4 linked regions of the Tamandua tetradactyla genome follow. The protein of the gene in region 2 binds, or shares a complex with, the protein of the main gene of each other region. Links are inferred from orthologs where the notes say so. Each region holds a gene or a part of one and is shown on either strand. Other genes may lie near its edges. The genes, in order: EIF4A3, CWC22, SNRNP40 and CWC27.

Region 1 (7,794 bases), on a different chromosome or scaffold from region 2:
AAAGGAGGAGTGTTTACTCTTTAGTATCTGGAAATGGGTGTGGACTTCTGACAGGAAGCCCTGCTTTGGGGACAGTCCCTTGGATGGAGGTCACTTCTGTCCAGGGCATGGACTTGTATGGAGGTGATTCATGAGAAACCCAGCCCAGCAGAGCAGCTCTGCTCCCACTCCTGGACAGGATGACCCTCCAGAACCTTCTCCCGGAGCCAACACAGATCAGGAAAGGGATGGGCCGGCTTTTGAGGCAGCCACGTGGTGAGCTGGCCAACCTCCCTGGGTCCCGTGTACCTCCCCGCTTCTTGCCCTGGACATCAAGTGAGCAGTCAACAAGCCAACAGGTATTGACTAAACATCTACTGTGTGCTGGGGAAACACGGAGAACAGACAGACAAGGTCCCTGCCCTTCTGGAGACTACCGTTTAATCAGGAGAGGAAGCCCCCTGCCCCCCGAAAATCCTAAACTCTGTAGAAACTGAGTCACCAGAGCCAGAGTGGGTGCTGAGAGGGTGCACGATGGGTACCCCCGCCCCCCCCGCTGGCGTTGAGGCACCCAGTGGGGCTGGCCTGATGGGTCCAGCGTGGAAACCCGGCACGTCCACTCTGCAGGGCACTCTGCTCCTCCCTGTAGGTCACTTTAGCTTTTCTAGCTGGCCATTCACTCTTCCACTAGTCAAGTGGTTAACATATCACATTGCCTGCACTCTCTACTTGGATTGCTAATTGAGGTTTCTGATAAGACTCCAAACATGAGTCTGGGAATGTAAGCAGAGGGATTAGATAGCAGGGGGTTGTCAATTCTTGCTTCTTAAGTAGATGCTGATGTGCCAAGGCTGCCTCAGAGCAAGTGTTTTAACACATACTGTGAGCAACTGAGGCATGCTCTCTCGTGTGACCAATGAAGGGATAATCGCCTACTAGTGATGAGTGCTTGGAAATTGTCTGGATGCCACAAGGACTTTGGTGGGCAATGCCCAGGTTTTGTGAAAATGGGCATCGAGGTTTTTTGTTTTGTTTTGTTTTTGTTTTTTGCATGGGCAGGCACTAGGAATTGAACCCAAGAACTCTGCCTGCTGAGCCACCGTGGCCTGCCCTGTGCATCGAGTTTTAATAGAAAAATTGTTCTCCTGAGAATTCTTGTTCTCCTTGCAATTACCCAGAACACTTCGTCCTGCATCATGACAAAAATATGGGTCTTTTGTGATCTACTGCATGAACCTCCAGCTCTGAGCTCCCTAAAGAGTGGACGTACAGGGTTTATCACACCTGGGCCGCCCTCCCAGTCATGCTGGGCACCTCCCATCATGCTCTATCCCAGCACCTGCTCTGTCTCCAGTGCCTCAGTTACCACCAAGTTTACAATTTTCAGGGGGCAGGAGGCTACCTCACCTGATGAGACTGTAGTTTCCAGGAGGGCAGGAACCATATCTGTTTGGTTCTCCAGGTTTCCTAGAGAGCATGGTTCACCTAGAGATAGCATCGGCCCCCTTCCCCTGAGCTCTTCTCATTTTCATGGACTCTAGGTTAAACCATTATTAGCCCCAGTTACAGGTTGAATGCACTCCCCAAAAGATATTTCAGAGTTCTAACCCTAGATACTTGTGCATTACTTGAAAACAGGGTTGCAGCAGACAGAATTAGTTAAATTAAGATGGGGCCATATTGCAGCAGGATGGGCCCTTAATCCAATATGCTGGATATCCTTATAGGAAGGGGAGAGGAGGGACAGACACCCATTAGAGAGAAGATAGCCATGTATAGATGGAGGCGGTGAAAGTACTGATGCAGCTACAAGCCAAGTCACAGTAAGCACTGCAGGGAGCTGTCAAAAGCTGGAAGGGCTGAAGGAGAACACTCCTCAGGGGTTTTAGGGGGAGTGTGGCCCTTCCAACCCAGTGATCGCAGACCTCTGATCCCCACAACTGCAAGAGAATAAGTTCTGTTGCTTTGAGCCCCCCAGTTGGTGGTACTTTGCTATGGCAGCCCCAGGAAATGTAGAGAGCCCCAAACAAAAGGAAGAGAACTTAAGACGAACACTCAGACACAACAAAAAGGACATTGTTAGGAAAATGGCATAAAACGTTTAGAACACCTTGCCATGAAAACATGAAGGCAAAAGACAAGTCTAAGTGAAGACAAAAAACAAGTCTAGGGGCAGCCTGACTAAGATTAAAAAAAAAAAATTCAGAACGAGTAGAAGACTGGAATAATTTCATTCCCTCCTTATTGATACTGGAATTTTTCAAATCACTAAATTTCTATTCTTTCCCCTTATGCCTGGCAAGGTTCTTTTATATGCTACCGGGTACCCTAGAGCAGCACTATCCAATAGGAATTTAATATGTAGTTTTAAATTTTCTAATAGCCATATCTCAAAAAGCAAAAAAATGAGAGGCATTAATTTAAATAGCATATTTTATGTAACCCAAGATACCCAAAATATTATTGCAACAGTAACCAATATAAAGTTATTAAAGAGAAATTTAACACTATTTCCTTACACAACACAGCCCTAGAGCGCCAGAGTCCTGCTTGCAAAACTGAGATTGTACACCTCAGAGAAGGTATGGAATAATTCTTCATGGGGTGAGAAGAAAACATAAGAACTTGCTTTCGGACTTCATTTATCTCGAAACATAAGAAAGAATTTCAGCCTTACAAATATTTGGTATTTAGATTGCTCTGACACCCTTCTAGGCCCATGGAAGGTCAGTCATCTCAGGATGGACAGACCTGAGTCCAGGGCAAGGCCTTCAGGTGAGAGAAGCCCCACCCTCCCATTCTGGGTCAACATATTTCAAGCCACTGAGAATCCCATGTACCTGGTTCAGAGGATAAAACTATTGCCTGATTTTAGATTAGCCTCCACAAAAGCAGTGCTTTAAACACTCCAGCCAAGAGGCCATGGATTAAAGGAACACCCTGTGACTGAAGCCAGGGGAACAAGGCGAAAGGACAGAGCCGACACTCGCTGGAAGTTTAACTTGCAAATAGTTAAAACACAACTCTCATACAACACGGAACTGGACAGGTGTCAAAAAGCAGTAACTCTAACCCATTAAAGAGGGACTCAGTGAGATGGTAAATCTGGCTCAATCATCACTGAGAAACTGGGTTTCTGAAGGCATTTTTGAAAAGTTTAGAATAAGCTGGCTAGGTTAAATGCACAACTCTACTCTGATACAAGATGTATTTTATTTATTTATTTATTTATTTATTTTCTGGTCAGCATAAATGCGTATTTTACATCTTCTCAGAACACAACTTGAACATTTTGAAATATTTCTACAAGTTTTAATTTTCCCTCTATCATCTTAGAATTATTCTATTTCTCTGCTTCTGTTAAGATTAACAAGGATCTGAATTTTATTTTCATTTTCTTTCAGCATTTCAGAATTTGGTCTTCTGTGGTCTAAACTCCACTGCTAATTTTCTACAAAATACTTGGAGGATTTTTAATTCCTTTACAATAACTAACATACATCTTAATATATGGTATGTAATATACATTTGATACATAGTATATTTATCATTTTCACAGCCACATAATACTCCATTGGGTTGAAAATACATAATTTAATTAAAAGTTCCTTTACATTTCGCATTTAAGTTATTTGCTGGGTTTTGCTGTTAGGAACACCTTGTTCCTAACATACTTGTGTCTCCTTTTGAATTGTTTCTTTGGTCAAGAGATACGAATATATATATTTTTTTAATTTATATTTTATTTATTTTTAAGGGATACAGAAATATTTGCATTTTAGTTCGGGATACGTGTATTTTAAATGACCTCATCTTTTCCCCAGGGGAGAAATTATTAGCGCCTCCTCCAGACAAAATCTAGGCGTTAATGCACGATCCCACGTGTAAGCCCTGACATTACAGCAAACTGCAAAAATGAAACAAAAGTACTAACGACGCGATCCTTTACGGAAGGATGCTCACGTCCAAGCCTGGACACTTCTCACCGCGCGGCGCTCCGGGGCAACTTCGTATTGCCCACGTGGGACCTTAAAAAGGGGCAGTCCCGTCAGAGCGGACAAACAGCTAGAAATTCAAAACTTTCCCCAAACAGGTCCCTTGAATATGGTTTCTAGCCGGTTTTAATAAAAACGAATTTCACACGGGGCTCATAAAGAGATGCCGATGATAACATCAGCCTAAAACGCATAACCAGCAGACACTCAGATTTTAGAGATGCGCGCTCACATTTTCACTGCGACCCTCTGGGACCTCGCCCAGTTTCCACGGGCCTCCCGCCTACGCCGACTCGCGGCGGCCATTCACAGCACCCATAAGTGACACACAAGTGTGTCCCCGTGTTGTTCATCCGCTCACCCAGACATCGACGACTACAGCCCCCAAACCACCCACGCTACGCTCTCCCTCAGCCGCCCCAAGTTTCGAGAAGGGAGGCGTGGCTCCGGGCGCTACATCCCGCGGGAGCTTCAGATCTCGCGAGAACTTCATCCACCACCGCTTTCCCTGCGGCGAACGCCTCACCCCTTTCACGTGACCAAGAGCGTCCGACGCACGCTCACACGCACGGAGGCCACACGCACGCGCGCGCGATGGCGTCAGTTCCCGGCGGCAGCGGCCTGTTTCCGCTTTCCGCCTGGGACCAGCCACCGGTCCGCCGCGCGCTCGTCTCTCGGTGGCCTCGGAATCATGGCGGCCACCGCCACGATGGCTACGTCGGGCTCCGCGCGGAAGCGGCTGCTCAAAGAGGAAGACATGACCAAAGTGGAGTTCGAAACCAGCGAGGAGGTGGATGTAACCCCCACGTTCGACACCATGGGCCTGCGGGAGGATCTTCTGCGCGGCATCTACGCCTACGGTCGGTGGGGCGCGGGCTTAGGGGAGCCCCGGGGCGGCGGCATTCCGGGAGGGGCGACTGGGTGAGCAGGTCGACGTGGGGGGTCGTGGCGGAGGCTCCGAGGCTCCGGGGATCAGTGACGTGAGATTCCCCCCGCCCCGGCGCACAGCCGTCACTCCACGTCTGCATCTTTCGTCCCATATGCTCTCCCTGGTGCAGAGTGCCCTGCTAGGCTCAGCAAGGGGTGCAGAGTCTCCAGGCACCTTAAGAGTCTCCATTCATAGGAACTGTTTTATACGCATTAGGCGTTAGGCAACAGGTGCTGCTCTGGGCAACGGGGATTTAGCAGCCAGCCAGGCAGTTTCCTGCCTTTATGGGGCTTAAATACTGTTTGGGAGAAGGACGAGGTGTAACTAAGGTTGTTTCAGGCAGTGATAATTTCATTGGGGAAAATAAAGCGGGGTGAGTCAGTACTGAGAGTGACTGTGAGGTGGGTGGGGGCAGTTTTAGTTGAAATAGAGCAGATAGATAAGGGGAGTGACGCTTAAGCTGAGACTTGAATTAAGCGCCAGCCACAGAAGTCCCCGCAGAGGCAGCTGGTGCCAGCTGCCCGCACATCTTCCCAAGCACGGTGTATTCCAGGAATCTAAAGAAGCCCCTGTTATGAGCTTAGGGGCGAGTTTAGAGAGATAGGCAGGAATTGAATCTTGCAAAGCATTGTTTGGGGTGATAGAGTTTGAATTTTATTTCTAAAGAGAGTGTTCCGGGTGCTCTGTGGATTTGGAGGGAAGGTGAGGCAGGGTTGGAAACAGGGACTTAGGAGGCTTTTGCTCTAGTTTAGGTGAGAGATGATGCCTTTGCAGTGGACCGAGAGAGGAAGACAGTGGAGCTGATGTGACAGAATTTGCCAGTGATTTTGAATGCTAGTGGCAGAGGACCCCAGCCTGATTTCTGGGGGGGTTGAGTAACTGGTTGGGTGATGGTGCCATTTGCTTGACGGGGGGTGGGGGCGGGAAAATGGGGTAAGGACCTGGGAAGACAAAATTAGGAGCTCTGTCTACCTTGGACATGGAGAGCTTGAGAGGCCTGTGAGCCATGCACTTGGACATTTGGGTTGGCAGTTGTCCAGGCAAGTTTGGAGTCCAGGGAAGAAGTCAGGCCTGATGGGTGAATGATCTGTGTTTAAAGCTTGGGATAGGGTATCGTTCATCCAAACAATTTCCAAAGGTCCTTGATAGCACAAGGCATTAGAAGAGTGAGGGGAAAGCTGTCTGAGGGTTTGGAAGGTGAAAAGAAACCCTTGACCCTGATAGTGAGGCAGGCACCGTTCTCGTCATCCCAGGGCCTCCTTGTTCTAAAATACTGTTGTTGGTTCCCAACTGTGTCCTTGCACATTCCGAGGGATTTAAAGGATATTATATTTGCTTTTATGTTAAGATGGGAACTTGTACTGTATTTTGAAAAACAATTGAACTATGATTTTGTATATAAAGTTTTGTTTACTTCGAACATGGTCCTTCAAAATAACCCCTCCCTTGGTAGTTGCTGTACCAGAGGATAGCAGGTGGGTGATTACCACAGCTGCCTGGAGACCGGATTCTCTATCTCAGGACACACAGTATGATCCAAGCAGGAACTAAATGCAGTTAGAGTTAACACAAATAGCCCACACACATAATGCTGTAATCAGTGTTACAGATTTTCTTTTTTAATTTAAAAAGTAATACTCTCCTCCAAACAAACGAACAAAACAATACAGGCTTTTTAGATCCAGCCACAAAGATAGAACTAATTAAAGAAAAAATTAGGTTCTCTTCCCCCAACCCCATTTCCAGGGGTGACCACCAATGACCTTTTGGCACCCATACTTCTAGATGTTGCATACACATACTTTTTTTTTTTGATGTTTTTATTGCAATATCTTCACACACCATGCAGTCCACCCAAAGTATACAATCAGGAGCTCACAATATAATCACATAATTGTGTATTCATCACTATGATCATTTTTAGAACATTTGCATCATTCCAGAAAAAAGAAATAAAAAGAAAAACCCCATACATCCCATACCCCTTGACCCTCCCTCTCATTGACCACTAGTATTGTAGTCTACCCAATTTTTTTTACCCGTTATCCCCTTTCCCCATTATTTATTTATTTATTGTCCTTATTTTTTTCTCATCTGTCCATACCTGGGTAAGCCACAATGTTTTCACAATCACACAGTTACATTGAAAATAGGTAGTTATACAGTTGTCTTCGAAAATCAGGGCTACTGGCAAATCAGTAGGCCATGCCCTCGATCATGAGGCTTACTCTGGTGAAGCTTATGTAGGTAGCGGAGAAGCTTAGATCTTCCTATAGGCATGCCTAAGAGTTACTTCTGGAAGACCTCTGTTGTTGCTCAGATATGGCCTCAGTCTCTCTAAGCCCAATTCTGCAAGTGAAATCATTGCCCTCCCCGCTACGTGCGACATGACATCCAGGGGTGAAAGTCTCCCTGGTGACATGGGAGAGGACTCCCAGGGATGAATCCAGACCTGGCACCATGGGATCATCAATTACAACCTGACCAAAAGGGAGCAAAGAAGTATAATTAATAAAGTATCAGTGGCAGAGAGTTCAGATAGAGTCGAGAGGCTACTCTGGAGGTTGCTCTTACACAAGCTTCAGGTAGACCTTGCTACCTGTCGTAACCTGCCAGCACGCAACCAGGACCATTCCAGCCAATCCTAAAGAGCACCTAGGGCAATATATAAGATTCCACAAGGGTTCCAGGCACTAGAGTAACTTTCCGGAAACCTCCAGATGGGTCCCTGGTCCAGATAAGCCCTGAAACCTAGCTCAGCCTCTCCAGAACATCAGATAGTTCCATCTCCCTACCCCATATTAGTGGCAGACCCTTCCAATAGCAAAAATTTAGAATTGTCATAGCCCAAAAAACCCCAAAAAGAAGTATGGAAAGATTAAAGGTGATGGT
Region 2 (7,755 bases):
AAACCTTTTGCACTCCTGTCTCCATCTCAGTATATGCTTTCCAGAGGACCCAAATGACAGAGTGGTACCAGGAATTGCAAAAAAAGCTAGCGGTAAATTGGGATTTTTAAGACAGAATCACTTTCTGCCTAACTGGTAAAGGGGTCCCCACCCCAGGTGGTATATGGGCACAATTAGTCCCTAACACAATGCAATGGTCCAACTGCTAATACTTTTCACTGGTGAAGCAGGCTGCAACACAATACTGGATAAGGGAGAATTTATTGACTTAGAGGCACTCTCTTGAGATGTGGGATTTAACAATTTGGCAAAAATCTAAGGGAATACTACAAATTCACTGCTAGGGTGACTCCCAGAAACCACAAGAAAGTAATGGCCCAAAATGAGCAAAACTGAATGCCTGAAATACCATAGTTAACCATAAAGAAAGCAATAAACTCAGGGAAATGGACGTTGTGGAGAAGGTGCGAGGCCAGAAAACATACCAGAAAGTTATTTTCCCTAAAAAGGCCCAGAGGACACAATTCCCCAAGGCCATCAGGGATGAGTTGGTAAGAGGAGCACTAATATCACCAAGATTTCCAGTATCCAGTGCCGTATCTCCTCTGTAAGTCCAAGCTGACTATTGGAGAGGCTGTCACAGAACTTGGTTCATTAATAATAGTGAAGGTGATGATGCCCTGAAGCCACAGAGACTGAGGCACGACTTAACTTCCAGAAACTAGGGAATCACAATTATTGCAATAGTCAGCAGTGTCAGAGCAGCACCAAGAAGGGATTGTGAAGATTATTATTAGAACATGGTGTAATCAAGGGTAAAATATATGGACAACCAATAAGGATGCTGATGAATATTCATAATTAAGAGAAAGCAAGAATGGAAAAGCAGGAGGCTTTATTGGTTACCCCCAATAAAGTCACAATCTCTTATCCAGATGCTGGACCTGGGCAGTTTTCAAACCAATGATTGACGACTTGGCTAGGTCTGAGAGAGAAAACTCTTACAATACCATGTCATGTATATTCTGCAATGATTCCCTTGGTATTTCCCTAAAGGGACCCAATTCTACTTACTTGAGTGACTAAAAGTGACATTCAGCACTGATGCTAGGAAAGGGGCATATTTACCCATATCAAGAACTACTATATACAGGGCCAGAGTTGGAACTGATACCTGGAGATTTAAAGCATCATCATGGCTCTCCTGTTGGAGTGGAGGCATGTAGAGGTCAAGTAATAAATTAAGTCATGGCTAGAGTCTGACTCACCATGGGTCCACTCGATTCACAGCCCAACCCACTGGTCATTTACTAGGTCCCTGAATGTATTACTGGGACTCACATATTTTACAGTCAGAGTAATGTCCATATACGTTCATTGGCCTATGGAATAAGAGCAATCATACTGGGGAAGGCCAATTAGAGACATTTGAAATGGCCTCTCTTGGCCAATAGAGTAAATCCAAAACAATATAACATTCTAGGTGGATGGTTAATAATAATGATACCCTTAAGGGTGCAAAAGTGACAGAGCCCATCATATTGGGGGGACATTTAATTTACTAGTCTGTCCCCTGCAGAAACCAGATGAATTAGGAGAATGGTTGCAGACTATTGCAGGTTCAATCAAGTAGCAGCCCCAATTGCAGCTGCCATGCCAAAGCAGGACAACATGGTCTCAATTGCATGGCATATAGCCACTGATGTGAAGAATTCATTTTTCTCTATCCCATCCAGGAAGGACAATTAGAAATAGTTCATGTCTACATGAAAGAAAAAAACAAGAATATTCATTGACACTTTTTGCCCCAGGACTGCATTAGCTCTCCTACTCTCTCTAATAACATAGTCTGAAGGGATCTGGACCACCTGGAAATGCTGCAGAATATCATATTGATGTATTATATAAACATCACATTAACTGAATATGTTAAACAAGAGACAGCTAGCATACTGGAACTTAGAAGAGGGAAGTTAGAGTAGAAAAAACTACAGCCCCCATCTTTGCATGGTCTTGAGGGTACCACTGGACCCATTGTCTCTCTCCTGTACCATTCATTTCAGGAAGAAAGGCCCACTGGAACCCCGGGAGAACTAATTCCTCAATGTGTATGGAAAAGTGGATCTACATGGTGCAAGGACTAGACTGGCAAACAGAGATATGCTATTCAGATTCTTTTTCAAGAAAGGACTTGCTGCCCAGCTATAAGGAATGTGGTTAGGTGACAGCCTTTACTTGTTAACACCTTCAAGTGCGCCTCAGGTTTTGAGTTGAGGTACATTCTTCTTGGGGTGGCTCCAGCCAATGACTTTGTACCAACTCTGTGGTACAAAGGCCTAGCCATTTTGTCTCAATTTGGGACTTCTCAACTTTGCCCTGAAATGCCCCTTTTAATCTACATCTGCTGTGCCGATTTGAAAGGATTTATGTACCCTAGAAATGCCATGTTTAATCCTAATCAATCTTGTGATTTCTTCTAATCCCTATGCAGGTTTCCAATAGGTTGGAAACTTGATTAGGTTATCTCCATGGAGATGTGACTCATCCAAACGTGGGTATTAACTTTTGAATAGAGGGAGATGTGACTCCACCCATTCCAAGTGGGTCTTGATTACTTTACTGGAATCCTTTAAAAGAGGAAGCATTTTGGAGAAAGCTGGAGAATGACGAGAGCAGCAAAGACACGAAATCTATAGAGACTGCCAGCCAGTGACCTCTGGAGATGAAAAGGAATGCCCCTAGTGGGGCTTCATGAAGCAAGAGGCCTAGGGAGGTAGCTAGAAGAGGTTGCTGAGAGGTTGAAAGAGAAACCCTAAACTTCATCGGCCTTCTTGAACCAAGGTATCTTTCTCTGGATTTCTTAATTTGGACATTTTTATCCACTTGCTTTAATTGGGACATTTTCTCAGCCTTAGAACTGTAAACTAGCAACATTAAATCTCCTTTTTTAAAGGCCATTCTGTTTTTGGTATATTGCAGTTCGGCAGTTAGCAAACTAGAACACCTGCCCAATCCTGCTTCTTCTCTTTTTCTTTCACTTTTTACATTCCTACCTCTACCTTATTTTCTGCTTTTTGGAGGAACTAACCTAGTCTCTCCTGCCTCCATTCGGCTCTCCTAGGCTCAAATCTACTTTCTTATTTACATCAATAATTGCAGAGGTGTTATGGTGCTTCTTTCCGATAGGGACATAAATGTTTGCAAGATTCATCTCCTGTTCCCTCTATTGTTACAACTGAAATCTATTCCTCAAATATTTAAAGACACCAAAATGCACTTTTAACTTATGGCTAAATATCTTAAATATTAATAGTAACAGATAACACTTATTATATACTAGGCATTATTTTAATGCATCATGTGTATTAACTAATTCAATTCTAAAAACTACTCTTTGGGGTGATTACTATTTCTATTATTATTTGTCAGATCAAGAAACTGTGGCATGGGGTGTGAAGTAATGCCCAAGGTCACTCTGCCAGGAAGCAATGGACCCATGATTCAAATATAAGTAGGCTAGGTCCGGCGTCTTTTTTCTTAATCGCTACACTCTTCTGACTCTTGGAAAGTACTGGTAGCACAAGCACTCTATATAAGTAGTCAGACAACCCGAGCCTGGTTTATAAAAAGCCAGGGAATATAAAGACACAGTTGTTTTAGGAAAGGGTAGTTCCCCAACAGCAATTAGCAACTGAACTTGTATGCTCTGTTACTACTGAAAAGCAAAGCATAAGGAAATAGTTTGACGCCCGATCTGTGATCTATGACAGACCGCTTTTTCCAACTCTGCTGTATAACCTCCTTATCCTCAGTATACCAGTCTTGTCAGCTGGTATACCTTACCTAAGATAGAAGCATTATCTCCTCTCCAGAAGTAGTTTATCCGCATTATGGTCCTATATTTTTCCATTCACTGGGGCTTGAAATATTGGCACTTGGTAGGCACTTTGATTAATAGGCACTTGGTCAAATTAGATTGAGAACTCTTGAAAAAATTGTCTGCTCTTAAGAGTTTCACAGAAAATGATTGTTAAGGACTATTTTTTGCCAGCTGCAGAGTAATACTTTTGAAGTAAATTCTGCTAACCCCTAAATGTCTACCAAATTTCCATGGAGCTGTCTTGCAGGGAGTTCCAGGGATCTATTTCCGTCGTAGTGTGTGGCTCCTTCAGCTTTAAAAAAAAAAAAAAGGCTTACGTCATTTCCGCCAGCACAGGCGATGGATGCCGGACTTTGTAGTTTGTATCAATTTCCCTTTTGTCGCCGGGTAAGAGGAAAGTGTGGCCAGATCGACTGGTATTACAAAATGGTATTTAAAATAAACTAATAGTATAACATATCAAAGCTAACCGCATACATTTAAATATATCATATTCCGCCTTCCTTTTACTGCTGGCGCCAGGGAAAGGGAAGTGACGTATATCCGGTGTGATGGCGGCGCGGTGGAGCTCCAGGTAATTATCAAACTCGGTGGACGCGCCATAGACAGCGGGAATATGGGTAGCTCGTCGGGTTGGGGGGGAAGTTAAAAGGCTCAAGAGTGGGTGCGGAGCCTCTGGTTCGCTTGTGGGCAGTAAGCTGGCGCGCGTACTTCCCCCGCCGCGCGCCGGCCTGCGAGGTGGGGGTGTGAGCTCAGATCGCATCGAGGAGTCCGAGCTAGTTGAGAGGGCCTGTGGGGAGTTCGCGGCCTCCCAACTTGTGCGAACGGACCTGGCTTCCTTGTGAGGATTTTTTGGGCTGTGTCTCTGCCCTTTTTTTTTTTCCTGCAATCCACTGCAATCGGTGGTTTGCCCTTCTTGTGCGGTGTGATTTGGACGCGGGTCGCTTAGAGACTCTCTAGTCGATTGGGAGCCCCAAGGCCCCCTTTCCTAGAGCCCGGGTTCCGGAGCCATGGGGGTGGAATTAGTAAACAGCTGATTATAGGTGGTCGGAGTTCCACTTTTCTGCCTCATTCCAGCTCATTGTCACTGTCATTGCCTCTGAAAATCTTATTAGTTTCCTTTTCCTTGCCTTGCCCCGCAAATACTGATGCTTTTCAGTGTTTAGGCTGGGAACTTTACTTCCTCGTTGTGTGTCCGCTTCTGTCATCCTTCATCCTCCGAGTACTTGAACTATCTCTAGTAAGATGATAACTCTCAAACTTGGGTCTGCAATCTTCACCGCTCTTCAGAGCTACGGATCCTACAACACACTTGCATATAATGGTAATTTAATAGTTAATTTCACTGAATCTAACTGCAGTAACCGTTTTACCGTCACTTACTCCTCACAGCAATTCTTTGAGGTAAATGGAGAAGGAAAGATACAGAGAAAGGCTATTCCATATGTAAAAATTGGTAATTGAAAGTGCATTAAAAATTCTCTTTGCATATTTAGGTACTCAAAGAAAAGGAATAGAAGATAGATAAACAAACTTGGTCTTCAGAAGACCAGTTAGCCTTCCCCTTCCTAATCTATATTTAGACTTCATTGTTTGGGGATGACCGGTGAACTCAGAAGTTAACGTTAATTATTATTCTACTACAGAAAAGCAGATTACGAATTGGCATTAAAAGGGTGGTTTGACTACAGCAAGTGTATGTCTTTGTTGCAGGGTATATATGTATGAGGAGATACCTACTGTGTTGATGCTGAATGTTGTATAAGCCAGATTCCAGCCTTGGCTGGGTGTCTTTTAGATCTGTCACCTGGAGCAAGTTATCTAACATTTCTAATATCAACTTTCTCATCTAAAAAAATGTGGGTTATAGTAGTATATGCCTCACTGGGTTGTTTTAAGGATGAAAGAAAATATAATGTGTATGAGGCACTAAGCACAGTGCCTGGTGTGTAGTGGTAGCTATTATTACGTTGTTATTACTACTTCAGTTGATGGGTTCTTGCTGTGTTTCAGTTCTTGTTCCTTGGTTCTGAATTACCCTTACACTTTTAAGTGCCCATACCACTTTTTATGGAAACTTTCTCAAACCCATTTGGCTGGAGTTCTGAGACTCGGCCTTACCTATACTTTTTTTCCTATCAGAGGTCAAGAATCTTGATCTAATACTGTTTTGGAAGTGTAATCTTCTGTACTAGCAGCATCGATATCTCCTTGAATCTTGTTTGCAGTACAAATCACTCCTGTCCTGCTGAATCTGGAACTGCAGACAATAGAGACCTATCAATCTGTTTTTTAACACACTGTCCAGGTAGTTTCATGCCAGTTAATTGAACCACATCCCTTAGAGATCACCTGTGTATTTTGCAGTTTTGATGTTTTGCCACCCCGCCCCCTCCACCCCCAACCAGATTTGTAGCACTCCTTGCGCAAAAGTATTTGATCCTTGGCCAGCCCAGTTTATCTCCATTAGTGTGTCCCTGTTCACCACCTCCTTTAGGTTAGTTCAGCTCCAACCACTTCTGAAGTGCAGATACTTCCCAGACTACCAAACTTATCTTTCCTAACGGCTTTCCTACCTCTGCCAGTTTTCCCGAGTGCTGAATTGTTAGCAATTATTTCTCCATTCAGATGATCATACTTTGCTAAGTGATCTATAAATAAATGGCTTGTACCTGAGACCACCTGAGAGAGGACACAGTGGCATCATGGAGTATTCATAATGACTTATGCCTTACCTTGAATATTATGTCTGTTCGTTGCCCACTTTGATTTAGACTAAATTTTGTGCTACCTGGTGTATCCCTAACTTGGTGTGAGTTGTGGCTGGTCTAGACTTAGTCTAAGAAAGATTTATTGCTAATAATAATGTAATTGCTAATACAGCGGATCCTACTGATGACTTTGAAGGCTCCCTGTTGCATTTCCCTACTTTTCTGTTTAAGTCTGAGAATCCTAGCATGAGAAGGTGTGATGGTTAATACAGAGGATGATGGAACAGTGAGATCTCTGGCATATTCATTCACAAAACTTCTCGACTTACTAAACTTTATCTCAATATTTATATTTCTCAAGTGGACTTTGGAATAGACATTTCATTGTCTGCAACAAAGTGCAAACTTTTCAAAGCATTTGCTTCAAAAAAAAATAGTACATGAATCATGTCATCAGAAGAAAACAGCGATGGATTAAAGAAAGCCTTTGCTGTTTGTGGCCAAGCTAGATATTAACAGGTCCTTCCTAGTGAACAGATAACCAAACATAAGGTGTGGGCTGCCTTGGTCTGGGGACATAGAAATCTGTAATTAAAAAATGGGTTAGCTAATGGGAGGGAAAGCCTATTAGTAGACTCATATTTAACCTGACTTTGAGCCTAACGCATTAATGGACCAGAATTAAAGCTCAGCACTACCAGTGAAAAAGTTACCTTGAGTCCTTCCCTGAATTGGTTTATCAGGACAACTTTATTCTAGACCAGGATAGATAAGTGGTGACAGGAGACTCTATAATGGAATGTAGTGCTGTGTGTCTAGGGACTACTTCATAAATGTCTTAATTTAGGCCAAGCATCTCCAAGTTATTTTCTTTAAGACTGTCCCATTATGAGATCTTCCCTAAATGGAACCTTCTTCCAACCTTCTGTATACAGTGACATTAAGACTGGGGAAAAATAGGAGCAGATATTTTCCTATAAATTGAGGAGGTAGAATCCACAGGATTTGATGACCGGGAATGAGAAAGAGAAAATTGCCATGTGTAAAGCTTTATGGATAATGTCTTAGGCAAAGAACTGGTTTGAGGTAGGGAGGAAGGAAAGATGAGTTACAATGTGAACTTAAGTTTGGAGAGGCTTTAGGAGATTTACATGGAGGTTTCCA
Region 3 (7,944 bases), on a different chromosome or scaffold from region 2:
CACCGTGATTTGTAGTTATGGCAGTGTATCACAGACTTAAAAATGGTTGAAGTGATCAATATATATAGCAGCACAATTTTTTTTAAAAAGTAGTAACAAAGAAAAAAATATCAGACCATGTCTAAATTTTGTAAAGACAGCTCTAAGACTAACTTCAAGATCAGAGGAATCACTGAAGAGTCACGAGCAGGACATCATTCATGAGGGAGGCTAAGATGAGGAGGGTCTGGATTAATTTATTCAAACATGAAATCGAGGATCATTTCTTATATGATTTTGTATTCCCAGTGCCAAATACAGTAGGTACTCAAAGTTTTCTCGAATGAATAAATAGAGCCTTACTATGTGCCCAGCAGAGGTGGAGAAAGGAGGAAAGCATTCTAATATCTAAAGGATGTAGAGTAGAAAGAACTGGAGTCTGGAAAGGTATAGTTTCAGACAAAAGAACCCACTCCAGCTAGGTTAGGCAAAAAGGAATTTATATCTAGGTATTACATGACTTACAAAATTAATGGAAGGGCTATAGGAGCAGGCCCTGGCAGAACTTCCCAACTCCTAAGCCACAAAATAATATCATGTTTGCCATGATCAAAAAGGTATGGCCATCACTGCAGAAAGTCACCAAAGCAGGTGGCTGTTGACTGGAAAACTCATTGCCTCTGCTATATTTTTCAGCAAAACCTGATGCCTCTAAACGAAATCACAAAGAAAGACAGATGATAAAGATTGAGATGGTATAATCTAGGAACGCCTAGAGTGTATAATGATAATGACTAAATGTACAAATTTTAAAAATGTTTTTGCATGAGGAAGAACAAAGGAATGTCATTACTGCAGGGTGCTGAAAACAGATGGTAATTAATATTTTTAAATTTCAACTTATGTGTGAGACTAAAGCAAAAAATGTTTATTTGGTACAAAATTTATATTTTGACTAGTGCATTTCCTAATACAACATATGTAGATAGTTGGTTGAACATAAGTACGTGAAACCTTGGGTAGGACATGAGATTTTGCTGGTTTGTCCAGAGTGATGCCCCAATGAATCCCAGAGTGATTTGATCAGTGAATGGAAAAGTATTTGCAAAGTCCCCTTCCGGGAATGGTGAGAACGGGAGAAAATTCAACCTCCCCCAATTGAATTCTTGATATTCTCATAAGCAGTGTGAACAACCAAAGCTATAGGCTGAGCCCCCAGTCTTGGGGCTTGTTCATATGAAACTTAACCCCACAAAGGATAGGTCAAGCCTACTTAAAATTAGGCCTGAGTCACCCCCAAGAGAACCTCTTTTGTTGTTCAAATGTGGCCTCTCTCCAGCCAACACAACAAGCAAACTCACCACCCTCCCCCTGTCTACGTGGGACATGACTCCCAGGGGTGTGGACCTTCCTGGCAACATGGGTCAGAAAACCTAGAATGAGCTGAGACCCAGCATTAAGGGATTGAGAAAATCTCTGGACCAAAAGGGGAAGAGTGAAATGAGACAAAGTGTCAATGGCTGAGAGATTCCAAACACAGTGGAGGGGTTATCCTGGAGGTTATTCTTATGCATTAAGTAGATATCACCTTGTTATTCAAGATGTAGTGGAGAGGCTGGAGGGAATGGCCTGAAAATGTAGAGCTGTGTTCCAGTAGCCATGTTTCTTGATGATGATTGTATAATGATATAGCTTTCCCAATGTGACTGTGATCGTGAAAACCTTGTGTCTGATGCTCCTTTTATCTACCTTGTCGACAGACAAGTAGAACATATGGAATAAAAATAAATAGGGGGAACAAATGTTAAAATAAATTCAGTTTGAAATACTAGTGATCAATGAAAGGGAGGGGTATGGGGTATGGTATGCATAATTTCTTTTTGTTTTCATTTTCTTTTTTTGTTGTCTTTTTATTTCTTTTTCTGAACTGATGCAAATGTTCTAAGAAATGATCATGATGATGAATATACAACTATGTGATGATATTGTGAATTACTGATTAAATATGTAGAATGGAATGAGCATATGTTAAGAAGGTTTGAGTTTCTTTCTTATAATTTTTTTTTAATTAAAAAAAAAAAACCTGATGCCTCACATTCAGCTTCTCTCCACAATTAATCCAGTTCCAAATTCAATTCTTAGGAAAGAATTGGAATAGTTTTTCGCTTTCTAGCCTCTTCCGTAAGAGAAGGCACACTAGAAGCAGGAACGTGTTTTGAGCCAGCCAAATCCACAATATTTGCCAAACTTGTACTAAACAGCCTAGTGTTGCTGGGGGAAAAAAAAGTATAATCTCCAATCTCCAATGGGTCCTTAACTCTGCCTGGTAATCCTACATTTCTCTAGTAAACACATTCTCCCACACTCTACAATGACTTTCAAATCTTCTTCAATCTACTCAAACCTCTAACCTACTCTCACTCTAAGCATAAAATTCCACCTCTCACTTTACAAAGAAAATAAAAGCCATGAGAAAACAATTCATCTTACCAGTACCAAACATACAATCTCTATCTATACCTTCATTTCCTCCTTCCCTTCTGTTAAATGGATAATGAATCCATCTTCCTAAGGCTGCTTTCTCCACCTATACTTTGGATCCCATCCCCTCCCACCTTCTCAGAAATTTTACGCTATTGGTGACCCAATTTCTCTCTTGAATATTCAACTCTGTCCTCTCAATTGGATCCTTGGTAACTCCTCATCCCCTTTAGCTACCACATCCTCTCTAAAATAATGTCTAGATTGATTGCCTGGATCCTTGTCTCATATCTGGCTTCCATCACAAAATAACTCTTGCCAAGGTTACCAAGAACTTCATAATAAAGACAACAGACTTTTTTTGATCCTCATGCTATTTAAATTCTGACACAGATCATTCCCTTACTTCTAAAAGAATATTCCTCTCGTTCTCTTGTAGGTTCATCCTCCTGTTCTTGGCCACTAAATGTTGGAACTTCCCAAGGCTCTGACCCATGTGATCTTACCCACACATACTACTTAATTATCACCTAGATTACTCCCAAATCTACTATGTTCAACACAAGCATGGCTTCTGCGCTCCAAAGTTCAACTGCCTCCTAGATGTCACAAATGAATCCCTCCATAAAAAACCCAAGGAACAAAACTAACAAACTAGTTTCTAGTCATTTTCTAGCGTTCCATTGAACACTACAAGATATTCTAATGCCTCACTGAATGGTACTGCTACGTATTCAGCTGCATGAGAAACCTAGGGCTTATCTTTGCTTCCTCTCTCTTAAGTTTCAGGAATCCAACCCATCACCAGTCCTAACCATTTTACCTCCTATATATCTCTAGAATCTGTTCAATTCTCCACAGGTCCACCAAGATATGTCAGTCCTCATTGCCAATTATCTCTCACCAGGACCACTGCAGAACCTAAGTCGTCTATCTGAATTCACTACGGCTCACCTTCAATCTGTTCACACCACTGAGACAAAGGGGTCAAGCCACCGCCCCTTCCACACATACAGCCCCCCCCACCCACCCAAAAAACCAACCCTCAGTGATTCCCATCTCATCTTAAGATAAAAGCTACAGATCTCTGCAGGGCCTAACCTTCTAACCGCCTCCAATTTCATCTTGTACCACTCTCCCCTCGTTATCTTTGAAGCAGTCACACTGGCCTCTTTGTGCCTTTTGTCAGTCACCCATGTAATGCTGTGGCTTCCTCTCTTCACCTAATTATTTGGAATTCAGCTCAGGCATCTCTTTCTCAGAAAAGGCTTCCTGCATATTTAAGCACTCAAAGCGTCAGATAGCTGTCCGAGGTAGCACTTATTTTACATTAACTAAAGAGATGTTAGATTGTTTAACATCTGTTTTCTCCACCAGACTCAATCTCCCTGACGTCAGGGACTATTTGATTCACAACGTCTCCCAAACGCACAATAAATATTAGTTGAATGATTGAGAAGAGGACCTAGTTCACAGATGTGAGTCTCAAGCTTCTCAATATAACTGCGCTCTCGAGAAGCAGAAGGCGGATATTTTCTTCATCTGTCTCTCTCAGCGGCATAGGGGAGACTCTAATGAAAGACTGTACAGTCAGTTGCAGAAACAAGCCTCACCTCCTCAGACAGGGAGTCTAGGAGACAGGCCTTATCTTCCTGGGAGCGCCCCACACATGACTGGACACAAGTGGGCGATTATCCAAGTCAGTCGTCGAGGTCCCTCCAACACCCCACCCGGCAGCTACAGGGTCTGGGTCCTGCCGCCAGACAGCCCAAACCTCGGCTCCCGCCAGGAAGGAGAGCCCATGCTACTACTTACCAGGGATAGAAATCAGGACCCTCAACTGAGAAGGGCCATGCTCAAACCCCACAACCAAAACGCTGCCTCCAGACTCGGGTAGCCACCCCCTAGCTTCCTTATACTTACTCGGCGTCAAGTAGAAGACAGCCAGCCACGCCATTGCGCGAAAAGCCGAACCCAGTCGGCGCGTTTATACCCACAAGACACAGCGCGCGTAGGCGGGACTCCAGGTTCATCCGCCAACCCTGAAGTCGGGCATTCGTGATGTTAGGAAGAGCTGCCCAATAACAAGAGACTATCCCGAAAGCGACGCAGCCTATTGGGAGATGATTGGGTTCTCCAAGCCGGAAGTTCTAAAGGAAAGGCTAAGTTCGAGCCAATCGCGCTGTGTGGAAGCGTGCCGCCTCGGTCCCTACTGGCACTGAGAGGAGCGGCTGCCGCCATGATAGAACAGCAGAAGCGCAAGGGCCCTGAGTTACCACTTGTCCCAGTCAAGCGGCAGCGGCATGAGTTGCTTTTGGGAGCGGCGGGGTCGGGCCCCGGAACCGGGCAGCAGCAGACGACGCCAGGAGCTTTGCTGCAAGCGGTAAGAAAAGGAACAGGTGGCCTTCGCTGCTCGGCTTCTCTTGCTCTCTCCTCAGAGCGCCACACCGAGTGATGCCGCATTGCGGGAGAGGAACGAGAATATTGACCTGGAGTTAAACTCTTTAAAAGCGCCCTATACCCTACAGATGCTCGATACGTGTTCCCGCGTTTGATGCCCTTTTTCAGCATCTCGACCGCCCTGGAGGTGGCAGTAGAATTGGAATGAAGAGCCATAGGCTCATAGCTGGCCTCAGGGCCGCGGCTTAGGCTTCCAAAGTTTTCCAGGGATCCGGGATAGAATAAACATTTGGTAGAAATTTGTAGAGTGAATAAATGCGTGAGTGAGTGAAGGGAGAATGCGATGAAATGAATGTTATTGGCTCCCTTAGGGACCGGGCAAGTTGGTTTCCCTCTTTCAGCTTCCCTTTATTTCTCTGTACTAATATTATGAACTGGATAGTACAGTTAGTATTCATGGAGCCCTTGTGCTGAGTGCCTTGTGTATGTGATATCCATTCATCTTGGTAACAGCCTAGGAGTTAGGAACTATTATCCCATTTTGCAAATGGAACAACAAACTCTTATCAAATAAAGTGATGGAAATAGATCTTGAACCCAGGCAGTCTGACTCCACAATCCATGCTCTTAACTGCTCTTGTAACGTGAAGAAGTAGTGGCCACTTCTCCTCTGCTGCTGTGAGAATCAGATGAAAGAATATATGTACTCTCTTTTTTTTTTTTTTCAAACCCTCAACCAACCCATCAGCGAATCCTGCCAGAATTGCTATTTCTATCATCTCTATTGCTTCCTCTTGGTCTAAGCTATTATTTGTCTCATCTGAGATTTTGCAGTATGGTCCTAATCAGTCTTGACTGTTTCAGCTCCTGCTTTCTACAATCTGTTCTCAGTCCAGCTTTCCATTTCACTCAGAGTAAAAACCAAAAACTTCACAATCTTTTGCCCACTTTTCCCTCTACCTCTCTGATACATCAATCTTCTTTCCTTGCTCTGGTCTCTATGCTCCTGCCTCAGTGCCTTTGCATTTGCTCATCCCTTTGTCAGCATGTTCTTCTAAATGCTTGCATGGTTTACACTCTCAGCTCTTCAGTTTTGTGTAAATATCACTTTTTCCGTGAGTTCTTTCCCGACCACAGTATTTTAAATTGCAATATCCCATACTCTCTATCCCACATTCCTCCTGTTTTTCCCTATTGTACATACCATTGTATGTAATATATATATATTTTAAACTTTTCTCTTTCCCATTCCACCAGAATGTAAACTCTATTGATTTTATTCACAGATGTTTTTGCAGTTCCTGGGCACATATTTTTTTTAATGAATAAATAAGCTGGAAACCACTGAAGAGATGTGGAGATTATTGTTAGTGTGCCTGTTCTTCCTACCAACAAATTAGAGCATCAGCCCAGGTTTAGAAAGTGAATTGCTCAAGCCTAGGCTTTGTGTCCAGGGCCATAATCAAATCCTACTTTCTGCAGGAGTCCCTACCCTGCAGGGTTGTTGTTAAGCTCAGTTCTGTCGTTCACTCATTAAATGCACCAGACATTGGGAAAAGATTGTTGAATGACACAGGCAAAGTCCCTGCAGTCATGGAGCTACTGTTCTAGTGTGAGAAGCAGACGAAATATATAAACAAATATATGAGAAAGGTAATTTCAGATGGTGATTAAGGAATATGGATGTGTGTGTGTGTGTGTGTGTGTGTGTGTGTGTGTGTGTGTGTATGGAATATATATATAAGGAATCACCTTATATTAATATATAAAGTGGTATGTACTGTATGAAGTACAGTAGGTGATTGGAATACAGGTGGGGAAGAGTCAGGGGAAACTACAAATGCAAAGATCCTGCAACAGAAATAAGTTTAATGTTTGAATAATAGAAATGTTGGCTATGGGACAGCAGCAGAGGGAGGGAGAGAAAGAATTAATGTAGCAGGTGATCATTGGAATGTTCAACAGAAGAGTATCGTATTGAGACATGACAAACCATGAACCAAGTATAAAAAAGTTTTTTGCAGCAAAAAAAAAAAAAAAGAGGCATGCATGATGTGAAAAGAGCTGAAATCCATTCCATCCATCGTTTTCTCTTCTCCCTCTCTCTCTCTTCCTACTCCCCGCCACCACCCTCAAATTTTTCAGCCTCCTTTGCTTATATACAGTGAGTACTCTGTGTTTCTGTCTTTTGTTTAGGGGCCTCCAAGGTGTTCCTCTCTTCAAGCCCCAATCATGCTGCTCTCCGGACATGAAGGGGAAGTGTATTGTTGCAAGTTTCACCCCAATGGATCCACTTTAGCATCTGCAGGATTTGATCGACTGATATGTAAGACAGTTTTTGAATCTGATGTAATTGCACTCTACCATGTAGTGATTATTTTTTATCTGTGATCAGTGTAGATTGATTATCTCTGAAAATGAGGAAACATGACAAACTACATTGCTAACAAACTAAAGTGAGGTTGTGAGAATTCTAAATGATCTTGGGTATAGAACTTGGGGTATGTGTGGTAAATACAGAAGAGATTATATTACTAATTGGAAAGTAAGTTCTGGTTTGGGAATACCTTCCTCATATAGGCAAGTGTTGAGCTGATTTAGCAAGACGAGATCTCCAACTTTTTGTAATGAGGACAGAGAAAAGTTCTTTTCCCAAAGTTGTGAGGCCCTCCTGGGGATCCATACTCACAGTCCTAGCAAATAGGAAGGAAAGGGGATTCTAGAATAGCAACTGCCTTAGATATTATTAAGATCTATTGCCAGATTCTTAACTACCAGTCAGGAATACCCATTTTGGAAGAATAAGTAGAAATAAATCACTTTGAGGGGTCATGTGAAAAGCATAGAGAAGATAATCGAGCATTTTTTTCTTCTCTGTATTTACCCCATTATGAAATGAAATTAGTCCCTTGGCTCTTTTAGTAACTATGCATCAGGGTGGATGTTATCTGTTTTCACTGCCCATTTTGATTTAGATACTCCAGTTCTGTCATCTTTAAACTTATTGATGGCCAAGCAACTGGAAGGCATGAGATTCTGTGCACAGCATCCTTAAATTTTTTATTTAATTTCATTAAAAAAAAA
Region 4 (8,327 bases), on a different chromosome or scaffold from region 2:
AGAAAGGTTAAGTGGCTTGAAGAGAAGTAAAAATTTCACAGATTTGGGTCAAGAACTAAGTTCCTGCCTCCCAGGAATGAAAGGGTCAGTTATATGATTTAGGAAAATTATTTCAATAGGAATAAGCAGATGGACTATAAGAGAAAAGAAATGACCTATAATACAGTTTAAAGGAGTGAAAAGAAATTAGATTAGTGTAATTCAGAATTTTTATATTACTAAGATGTTATCGTCATGTGTTGTAAGAATTTGATTGACTTTGACATGCTAAACTAAAATGTTAATTTGGCTATAGAACATTCACTTTCTTACTCCACAGATTTCACTGGAGAGAAAAAAATTGTCTTTATGTGCAAATCACATCAGTAGAACATTGCCAATTGTGCCAGGTCTTTTTGTGGTATAGGCTCTTTGTGGAAAATGGCAAATCATTGACATGAATGCCATAAATAATTTCAACAACTGCTGTAAGTGGAAACAGCAGAATTTAACGTTTTCCCCTTTCCCTAATTCAGAACATAAAAATTCCAGCATTGCTTTAAAACAGGGGCTGCAAACTGAAATGCCTTCAGGAGTCTGGTAGATAGCTATGACGGCAACTTAGTTCAACGTACACTACCTAAGTGCCTGGCCTGCTCTTAACACCTCATATGCACTAATTCACTTAATTCTAATAATAAATCTTAAAGTCAGGGACTGTTATCTCCATTTTACATATGGTGAAATTCAGGCACAGATAGGTTATATAACCTCCCCAAGATTACCATATATAAATGGTGGTGCAGGCAGATTGGTTCCAGCGCTCATGATTTAACTACTATATACAAATTCACTACCAAGGTAACACAAATGAGTGAGGAAGGTCAAAGACGAGTTCGTGCTGTGGCAAACTGAACAATGGCAAGTCCAGCCAAAAGGGGCCTGTCATCTCTCATCAGTTACTGCAGTGTCAGAATGTGGGTATAGTATTGTCAGAATCTTTACTTTTTCAAAGGTGAGCAAAAGTCTAGATTTGTGTGTGAAATCCTGCCCTCCGACCTCCACCACATACTTTAAAAATATTTCTTGCCAGTGTTTCTGAAATCCGTTGAACCAAATCTAAGATATCTAAAAAGTTCAACCCTGGCCAGAGGCTTCAAGGCTTACTTCAACATGGCTTGTTTATCTACATATAAATTGAGTAAGCTTATATATAATGCTATGGAAAAATAGGCTGAATCAGGTGAGCATAAAACCAAGGACACCGATTTTGATGTGTGGTTTGTGAAAAGTAGCCTCATTATTTGACAGTCAGTGCTTGTAATAATCACTAGCCGGAGCATCCTGAGAAATACCATGCTAAATCTATACCAGCATTATAACTAAAAATAAAATAATATATGTTCTCAATGATCACTTCAGAAGGTTTCTGATAGACCCCTATTTTCCTTTAATACACTATATGGATCGATCATGCAAGAAATTATCTTAATTTTTTCTATACCTGTATTTTCAAATGGCACTTCCATTGTACTTTTACAATGCTGTCACGCGCATTATCTCAATTTTTGCTGGGTTTAAACAGTTTATGTCTTGCCATCTAGCTTAATGGCACAATTTAAGATTATTACACTTGGAAGCATTATTTTAAATTGAGAAGAAGGTTAACAGGTCTATAACCTTGGTCTAAGTGTAAGGGATTTCAATAAGGGTGTTGAAAAAAAATCACTTTTGTCCCCTGTCTTAACCAGTGCATTTTCATTACTAGACTTAATTTTTATGAGGCCACATACTGTAACATTGTGTCTTTCTGAGTGCCAATAGCATGTAGTTCAGTTCATGAAATCAATGGTGACATCAGGCCAACTTTAGATACAACTGTGGCCACAGACTGTAACATTGTATCTTTCTGAGTGCCAACAGCATGCAGCTCAACTAGTGAAATCAGTGGTGACATCAGCCAACTTTAGATATAACTGTGTCAATCTTTAACAACTGTCTTCCCATGGATCAACAGGGCTGATGTGGCTTATGAAGATGTCTGAGCAATCAGCTGTGCAGCCTTTCTTTCTCTCCTGGTCTCTTAAATAGTGATCTTCCCCAGGCTTCAGTCACAGGCTTACCTTTCACACTCTACACATTTCTCCTGAGCAGACTTCTACTCTCATGGCCTTAACACCTATTTAATACAGACATTTGGGTGGCACTGAATGACACCAAAATCATTGCCTCTTACCTCAGCTTCTTTGCTAACCTAAAATTTATATCACTAAATGACTGCTGGATACTCCCATTATCAACACGCCCCAAACTGAAGTTATAATCCTCCCCCTTAAAACCTGCTCCTTCTCCAATGTTGCCTACATCAGTAAATGGCCCTGCCCAAATGTCTAACAGTGATTTCTAGATAAATCACACTTCCTAGTGACGCTGCCTCCAAAAACGTATCTCCAATCTGTCTGCTTCTCTCCACTCCTATTGACACCATACTTCAGTGAGGAGTCATTGCAATTCACCAGAATTATTCCTAACTGGTGAATGCCTCAAACTATCTCCCCTCTATTGTGCAGCCAAAATGATCCCTTCAAATCATGAATCTGTTTAAAAACACATAAATGATCTCCAAACACCCTTAGGATAAAGTCTAAACTCCTTGTCATGGCTTACAAATTTGTTCAAGAGCTGGAAGTCACCTTTTAAGTTAATATAGCATGGCAAATGGATAAGAGCATGGGGTCTAAAGAAGCCAATCTGATCTAGCTCCATCCAGCTGTCTCACAACAGGCAAATCACTTGACTTCTTTGTCCCTCAATTTCATCCTCTGTAAAAACGGGATAACAGTATGTATCTCATAGTGCGGTTGTGAATGTTAAATGAGAAAAAATAACAAACCACTTGACACAGTGTCTGGAACACTATCTGACACATAGTAAATGGTCAGCAAATAATAGCTATTGTTATTATCTTTCTAGCTCATTTCTCACTTCTCTCCCATTTGTCCTTAGAGTTCCATCCATAGCGCCCAGTGAACCTCTTTCATCCTTCTTCTCACTGGTCCATTACATAAAGTCCCTTTGATTGCATGTTTCCCTCCATCCCCCTCTTCAGCAACTCTCTGGACTCCTCTGGGAAAGTCATCTGTGCAACTCCTAGATGCTCCCTAAGGTTCTGTACTTGTCTTACTTTCTAGTACTATTTTTTCTCTCCCTGTTAAACTGTAGGTTTTGTGTAAAAGGGTCCATGTCTTTCTTGCTTACCACTGAAATGGTTTTGTACCCCAGGAAACCCATGTTCTTCTTTCTAATTCAATCTTGTGGGGGCAGACCTATTGTTTGGGTGGGATCTTTTTGATTAAGTTGTTTCCAAGGAGATGCATCTCTGCCCACTCAAGGTAGGTCTTACTGGGCTTACTGGGGTCCTTTTAAGAGGGAGCCATTTTGGGAAAAGCTTAGAGCCGACACAGACAGAGACATCTGGAGATGCAGGAAGAAAACGCCCCAGGGAAGCAGTTTGAAAACAGAAGCCAAAGGACCAGCAGACACCAAGCATATGCTTTCCCAGCTGACAGAGGTCTTCCAGGCCTATCTTGAGTCAGGGTATCTTTCTTTGGATGCCTTAGTTTGTAAATTTTTAATGGCCTTAGACCTCTAAACTTGTAACTCAATAAATCCCCTTTATAAAAACCAATCCATTTTTGGTGTATTGCATTCTGGCAGTATTAGCAAACTAAAACACCGTTTTATCCCCAATGCCCACCACAGTGCCTGACACCTGACAGGCAGTAAAGCTGTCAGTGTATGAATGTGTGCATTTTTCCTCTCTCACAGCTCAGTATGTGTTCCTCTCAAAGCCGCAAGCCAGCAGAAAAGCACAGCTGTACCGTAACAGCTGTCCGCAGAACACACTTCAGGACAAGGCTGCCACAGGACAAACGCTTCTGAACCACAGCACTTCTCAGAATCCTATGCTCAAGTGCATTGTTAACCTCCAAGCGGGGGGCAGAGGGCGTGTATTTCTGCATACATCTCCTGCACTGAACGCTGTGGCACAGGCCAGTCTCAGGAGATGCTCACCCCCGCTGGACGTCTAAGGCAGACAGCAGCTGTGGGCGGGGAAGGCTCCGAAGCACTCGGACTGCAGGGTTCACGGGTGGCAATGAGCACCCTTTACACACAGAACCTGACACGGGGAAGAAACCGACAGGATTCACCCAAGCGCCTCCTCTGACCCAACGAGGCCCAGAAGAGCAAAGGGAACGGTCTGCGGCCACAGGCAAGCGGAAGCGCTGGAGGGGGAGCCCCGGGCGCCCGCAGGGCCCGACCCCACGCCCGCCACCACGCCCGGGACCCGCGGGGTCGCCACGCGCGCCCATTCGAATGGCATCTCTAAGCCACCCCGAAGCGACGGCCGAGGCCTGCCACCCCTTCGGGCCTCCACGGGCTGCCCTTCCTCCTCCTTTCCCCCCCAGCGTTTCTGCGGGGAAGACGCCTGTCCGCGGCGGGGAGACGGCTTCCGCCCGCTCTCAGCGTGGGGCTGGGAGCCGGCACTTGCTGCCCCCGAGCCCCGCAACCCAGCGGCGGCGCGGCGCCTCCGCCCGAAGGCGCCCGGCATCGTCCTCTCCCATCCCAACCGCCCCCTCCCCGCTCCCGCTCCCGTCCGAGCCCGGCAGGCCGTCCTCACCTGGGATTGCCATGGTGCTGGCAACAGGGGGTCAAGGGTGCGCGCGTCCCGCCGGCGCGGGGACAACGCCCGGCCGAAGCGGCCTCGCCCTCGCCGCAGCGCCGCCGAAGCTCCGCGAGAGGCCCGGAAGGGCCGCTAAGCCCCTGGCGACGGCGGAACCAAGGCGTCGCCGCTGTGGTTTCCGGGCGAGTCACGGTGCAGCGAACATTTGGCCTGAACCATTACAGCCAACTCCTGAGGGGTGCGTGTGTGTGACCGACACAGGTGTGTGGCGAAAGTGAACACCACGAAGACTCAAGATGGTTCTTTAACTTTTTAAATACGAATAACTTTACGCTATAGACGCTGAAGACTCTTTTCTCCTTCCCTGGAGGATATCGGAATCCCCCTTATCGGGGTTAGCGGTGTTCGGGTCCGGGAGCAACATGGCGGCATGCGTGAGCGGCTAGGTTGGCGGGCCCAGGGCGCGGCGTCGCTGTCTTTCAGGGCCTCGGCTTACTGGAGCTCTCCGCGACCGCCTCCTCCAGGGAGCGTGAACTCCTCCGCGGTAGCGTTCGTTGACCGGAGTTTTGCGGACTTCGAAGTAGAGCCCTGAGCACCGACAAGGATGAGCAACATCTACATCCAGGAGCCTCCCACGAACGGGAAGGTGAGCGCCTCACCTGGGGCCTCTGGGCTCCCGGAAGCGAGCCCTCTCCCACTAGGAGGGCTCTGAGGTGTTCGGGATGGAAGAGGCCACAGGGAGTGTCGTCGTCCCCCTGTCTCGGGACGAGGCGTCGAAAGCCGTACTGAACACTCATAGCATGGATTGGAAAACCAAGAGCTTGGGTGGAGAGTTCCTCCATTGCCCTCGCCGCGGGGCCTTCTGCCCCCGACCCAACTCGTGCAGGCGTTTACGAGGGTCTTAGGGTTTTAGAAGCAAAATATGAAATTTAACATATTATTTTCTTGGCTTGGAGAGCTCTCCTTTTCGCATCCGTTCTGCAATCATTTGTTGAGTTCTTGCTGTGCACGGGTGCTGTGCTAGGCGCTGGGGATGCAGAGATGGGTAGGCCTAGTTACTGCCCTGGAAGAGCGCATAGTTAAGTTTACAAGACAAGCCCTAAAGAAAAAGCTTCCATATACGTCTAGTAGGCATCCTTGTGGAAACAGAATCATTGTTCTATGGCAGTACTGAGGAGTGAGCCGCTGGAAAAGTTAGGAAAAGCTTCTTGGAGCTGAAATTAAAACACGAGATAATTGCCAGTCAGAGAAAGTGGAGAATGGGGAGTGTTCCCATATTTGAATGGGAGGTTAGGGTCCTGATCGATTTGGTGGTCAAGGTACGTCAATTCCCATCCACGGTGTTTGTATGCAGTATGAGGCAGAGAAGTTAACGATGGGATTAGTGTCATTTGCATTCTTGAACTGAGACCTAGTCTATATCATATGTGAAATATTATGAAGAAAATAGTGGGACTTAAAGTATGTGGTTTGATTAGGGTAAACGAAATTTGCCTACAGTACAGTTCTGTTGCATGACTGTATCATAAATTACTTATGCAATCTTCTATTGATGGTCATTTGGTAATATAATGAGAGCAATTTGTAAACGTACAAAAAGTTTCTGTAATGAAATATCCTTGGCAAATATTTTAAGGGGAATTATGGGCAGAATTAATTCTTTGTTGTTTGACCTTCTCCTGGGCACTCCAGATTAGCATTCTCCCTTTCCCCCATGTCATTGTCAAAACCCCAAATAACTATCCCCTCGTTTTTCCAAATGTTTCTTGGGGATGATATTACCCCCAGGTGATAAAACCTGGCAGAAGATTGAATAAATTACCCATCTTGCCAGGCAGAGGCTTCACACTTGCTCTTCTCCTTGGTTTGTTCTTCTGCCTGCTCAAATGTCATCCTAAAAAAGAGGCCTTTCCTATTTGCCCTCCGTGATGGTTGGTTCATGTGTCAGCTTGGCCAGAGGGTGGTGTCCGGCTATTTGGTTAAGCAAGCACCATCCTGATGGTTCCTGTGAGGCCGTTTTGTGGACGTAAATCATCAGTAAATTGATTGCATCTATGGCTGATGACATCTACAGTCAACTGAGGAGATGGCCTTCACACTGAGAGATATATCATCCAATCAGTTCAAGACTTTAAAAGATGACGTGATGACTTCAGCAGTCAGAAGAATTTCTATCTCCACTTCAGCCAGCCGAGTAGAATTCCAAGGTTCCCCCAGAGAATTCATCAAAAACCTTCCCCAGATTTCCTGGCTTGTGACCTGCCCTTTGGAATTTGGACTTATGCATCCCCACAGTTGTATAAGACAATTTTTATAAAAATCTCATAGTATATATCTCAACAGATACGTCCTTTTGGTTCTGTTTCCCTACAGAACCCTGACAAAGACACCTTCTATGACATAGCATATAGTAGTCATGCCCTGCATCCCTGCATTCCCTGGCCCCCTGAACCTATTTTTCTGTAGTACTTATTTTCTTGTTTATCGTGCATCCCCTTCCCTCAGAGAATGCAAGTTCTCTGAGAGCAGAGATTTTGCTTTGTTCACTGTACTTAGAACAGTGCTTGATGCATAGTAGGAGTTCAAATATGTATTGCATAAATGAATGAATGTTATTTCTCTTAGCTTCTGAGAAGTATTAAGCGTCGGTGGGTTTAAGTAGACTGTGACTGGTTAAGTGCAGGCTGACTTGCTTTTTTGAGGAAGACTTAGCATGGTCATATAGATGAAAAGCTTAACAAGGTTACATGCCTAAATAGAAAACCATTTATTCATCAACAAATATTTTTTGAGCACCGAACACATACCAGGCTCTATGCAAGGTTTTAGGGATACAACAGAAAGAAAAAACAGCATTGTCCCTGTCATCATGGAGTTACCTTGGTGACATATGTGTTGACCAAATAATCATGCAAATAAACACGTAATTGCATACTGTGGTGAATAATGTTAATCTTTTGGACAGTAGTGGACTGAGGGAGAACCTCAGGCAGGGCCCAAGTTTTGTCCAAAAACAATTTGGGAACTTTAACAACATAAGGATTATTGAAGAGATTGAAGCCCTGAAGTTCTATACTGTAGGAAGTGTGGCAACTAAAGTGTACTGTAGAGAGTGTGGCAAGAATTTTGGTCTTGCAGGAATTTAAAGCACCTGTAATGACAAGTCTGCTCAGTAAATGTTTGTTTCATACCTGTGCTGTTTAATGGTGCATTGGTTTCTGAAAGCATTACAGAGATATCCAGAATCAATGGGAAAAAAATTCTTCTCTTCAAAGAACATCAAATCAGCTTGGGAAGCATAATTGACAAATAGCTGAGAATTGCACCAATGGTTGACCCTTGGCTGTTGTCCCTAAATGAACTATAACCCTCACACAGAAATGTAGCACCTAATAGAAATTTCCTGAAAGCATAGGGGATGATCCACTGAATTTGAAATTTCCACATATTCTGATACTTTATTCTAAATTGTATATTAACATATATATGTTCTTAAGAAACATGTTATTATTGAAATATTGTTTTATTTGGCAGCTTTAACAAAAAGAATCACTGAGAACTGACAAATACTATTGCCAAGGAAATCTATGGCCAAAGGAGGGCGATCCATGTGCCTTCTTCAGTAGTTTATCAGTGAAAAAATGAAGAAACCTTTGTAGGCAAG

The links.
Region 1: the proteins of CWC22 (region 2) and EIF4A3 are in contact, whole or in part, in a crystal structure (PDB 4C9B), measured with the Homo sapiens proteins. The link is inferred for Tamandua tetradactyla from reciprocal best matches to the Homo sapiens genes CWC22 and EIF4A3. Residues at the interface, in NP_001362958.1 of Homo sapiens: Thr129, Gly130, Gly131, Ala132, Tyr133, Pro135, Pro136, Ala137, Lys138, Arg140, Lys164, Asn167, Gly168, Ile170, Asn171, Lys172, Val173, Asn174, Ser176, Asn177, Ile180, Ile181, Glu184, Ala207, Ser208, Ile210, Phe211, Tyr215, Lys330, Arg331; in NP_055555.1 of Homo sapiens: Met43, Gly44, Ile72, Ile73, Lys74, Gly75, Gln98, Cys99, Met183, Gln213, Val256, Ala257, Glu259, Trp263, Asp266, Thr267, Asp270, Leu271, Tyr272, Asp273, Thr274, Leu275, Thr276, Ile277, Thr278, Gln279, Ala300, Asn301, Phe302, Thr303.
Region 3: CWC22 (region 2) and SNRNP40 share a complex: the UniProt entries of both Homo sapiens proteins name them as parts of the minor spliceosome. The link is inferred for Tamandua tetradactyla from reciprocal best matches to the Homo sapiens genes CWC22 and SNRNP40.
Region 4: the proteins of CWC22 (region 2) and CWC27 are in contact, whole or in part, in a crystal structure (PDB 6YVH), measured with the Homo sapiens proteins. The link is inferred for Tamandua tetradactyla from reciprocal best matches to the Homo sapiens genes CWC22 and CWC27. Residues at the interface, in NP_001362958.1 of Homo sapiens: Leu239, Arg242, Lys243, Tyr245, Arg246, Asn248, Asp249, Lys250, His270, Glu271, Val272, Leu275, Glu276, Thr279, Leu280, Leu281, Glu283, Arg284, Thr286, Asp288, Ser289, Val292, Val307, Ser308, Pro309, Arg310, Gly311, Thr367, Met369, Leu372; in NP_005860.2 of Homo sapiens: Arg381, Glu382, Asp383, Gln384, Thr385, Leu386, Leu388, Leu389, Phe392, Lys393, Lys395, Leu396, Thr397, Ile400, Glu412, Asp415, Asp416, Glu417, Gly418, Trp419, Met420, Ser421, His422, Val423, Leu424, Gln425, Phe426.

Annotation. Positions count from the first base shown.
Region 1 is NC_135332.1:72,433,154-72,440,947, reverse strand, and holds the start of EIF4A3 (eukaryotic initiation factor 4A-III), read left to right. Parts: upstream 1-4,573; 5' UTR 4,574-4,665; coding exon 4,666-4,834; intron 4,835-7,794. UniProt on the Homo sapiens protein: ATP-dependent RNA helicase. Involved in pre-mRNA splicing as component of the spliceosome. Core component of the splicing-dependent multiprotein exon junction complex (EJC) deposited at splice junctions on mRNAs.
Region 2 is NC_135329.1:152,614,369-152,622,123, reverse strand, and holds the start of CWC22 (pre-mRNA-splicing factor CWC22 homolog), read left to right. Parts: upstream 1-4,484; 5' UTR 4,485-5,204; intron 5,205-7,755. UniProt on the Homo sapiens protein: Required for pre-mRNA splicing as component of the spliceosome. As a component of the minor spliceosome, involved in the splicing of U12-type introns in pre-mRNAs. Promotes exon-junction complex (EJC) assembly.
Region 3 is NC_135328.1:194,558,491-194,566,434, forward strand, and holds the start of SNRNP40 (U5 small nuclear ribonucleoprotein 40 kDa protein), read left to right. Parts: upstream 1-4,636; 5' UTR 4,637-4,699; coding exon 4,700-4,843; intron 4,844-7,056; coding exon 7,057-7,186; intron 7,187-7,944. UniProt on the Homo sapiens protein: Required for pre-mRNA splicing as component of the activated spliceosome. Component of the U5 small nuclear ribonucleoprotein (snRNP) complex and the U4/U6-U5 tri-snRNP complex, building blocks of the spliceosome.
Region 4 is NC_135335.1:112,328,969-112,337,295, forward strand, and holds the start of CWC27 (spliceosome-associated protein CWC27 homolog), read left to right. Parts: upstream 1-4,827; 5' UTR 4,828-5,267; coding exon 5,268-5,309; intron 5,310-8,327. Other genes in the region: protein SREK1IP1, read right to left, coding at 4,661-4,673. UniProt on the Homo sapiens protein: As part of the spliceosome, plays a role in pre-mRNA splicing. Probable inactive PPIase with no peptidyl-prolyl cis-trans isomerase activity. As a component of the minor spliceosome, involved in the splicing of U12-type introns in pre-mRNAs.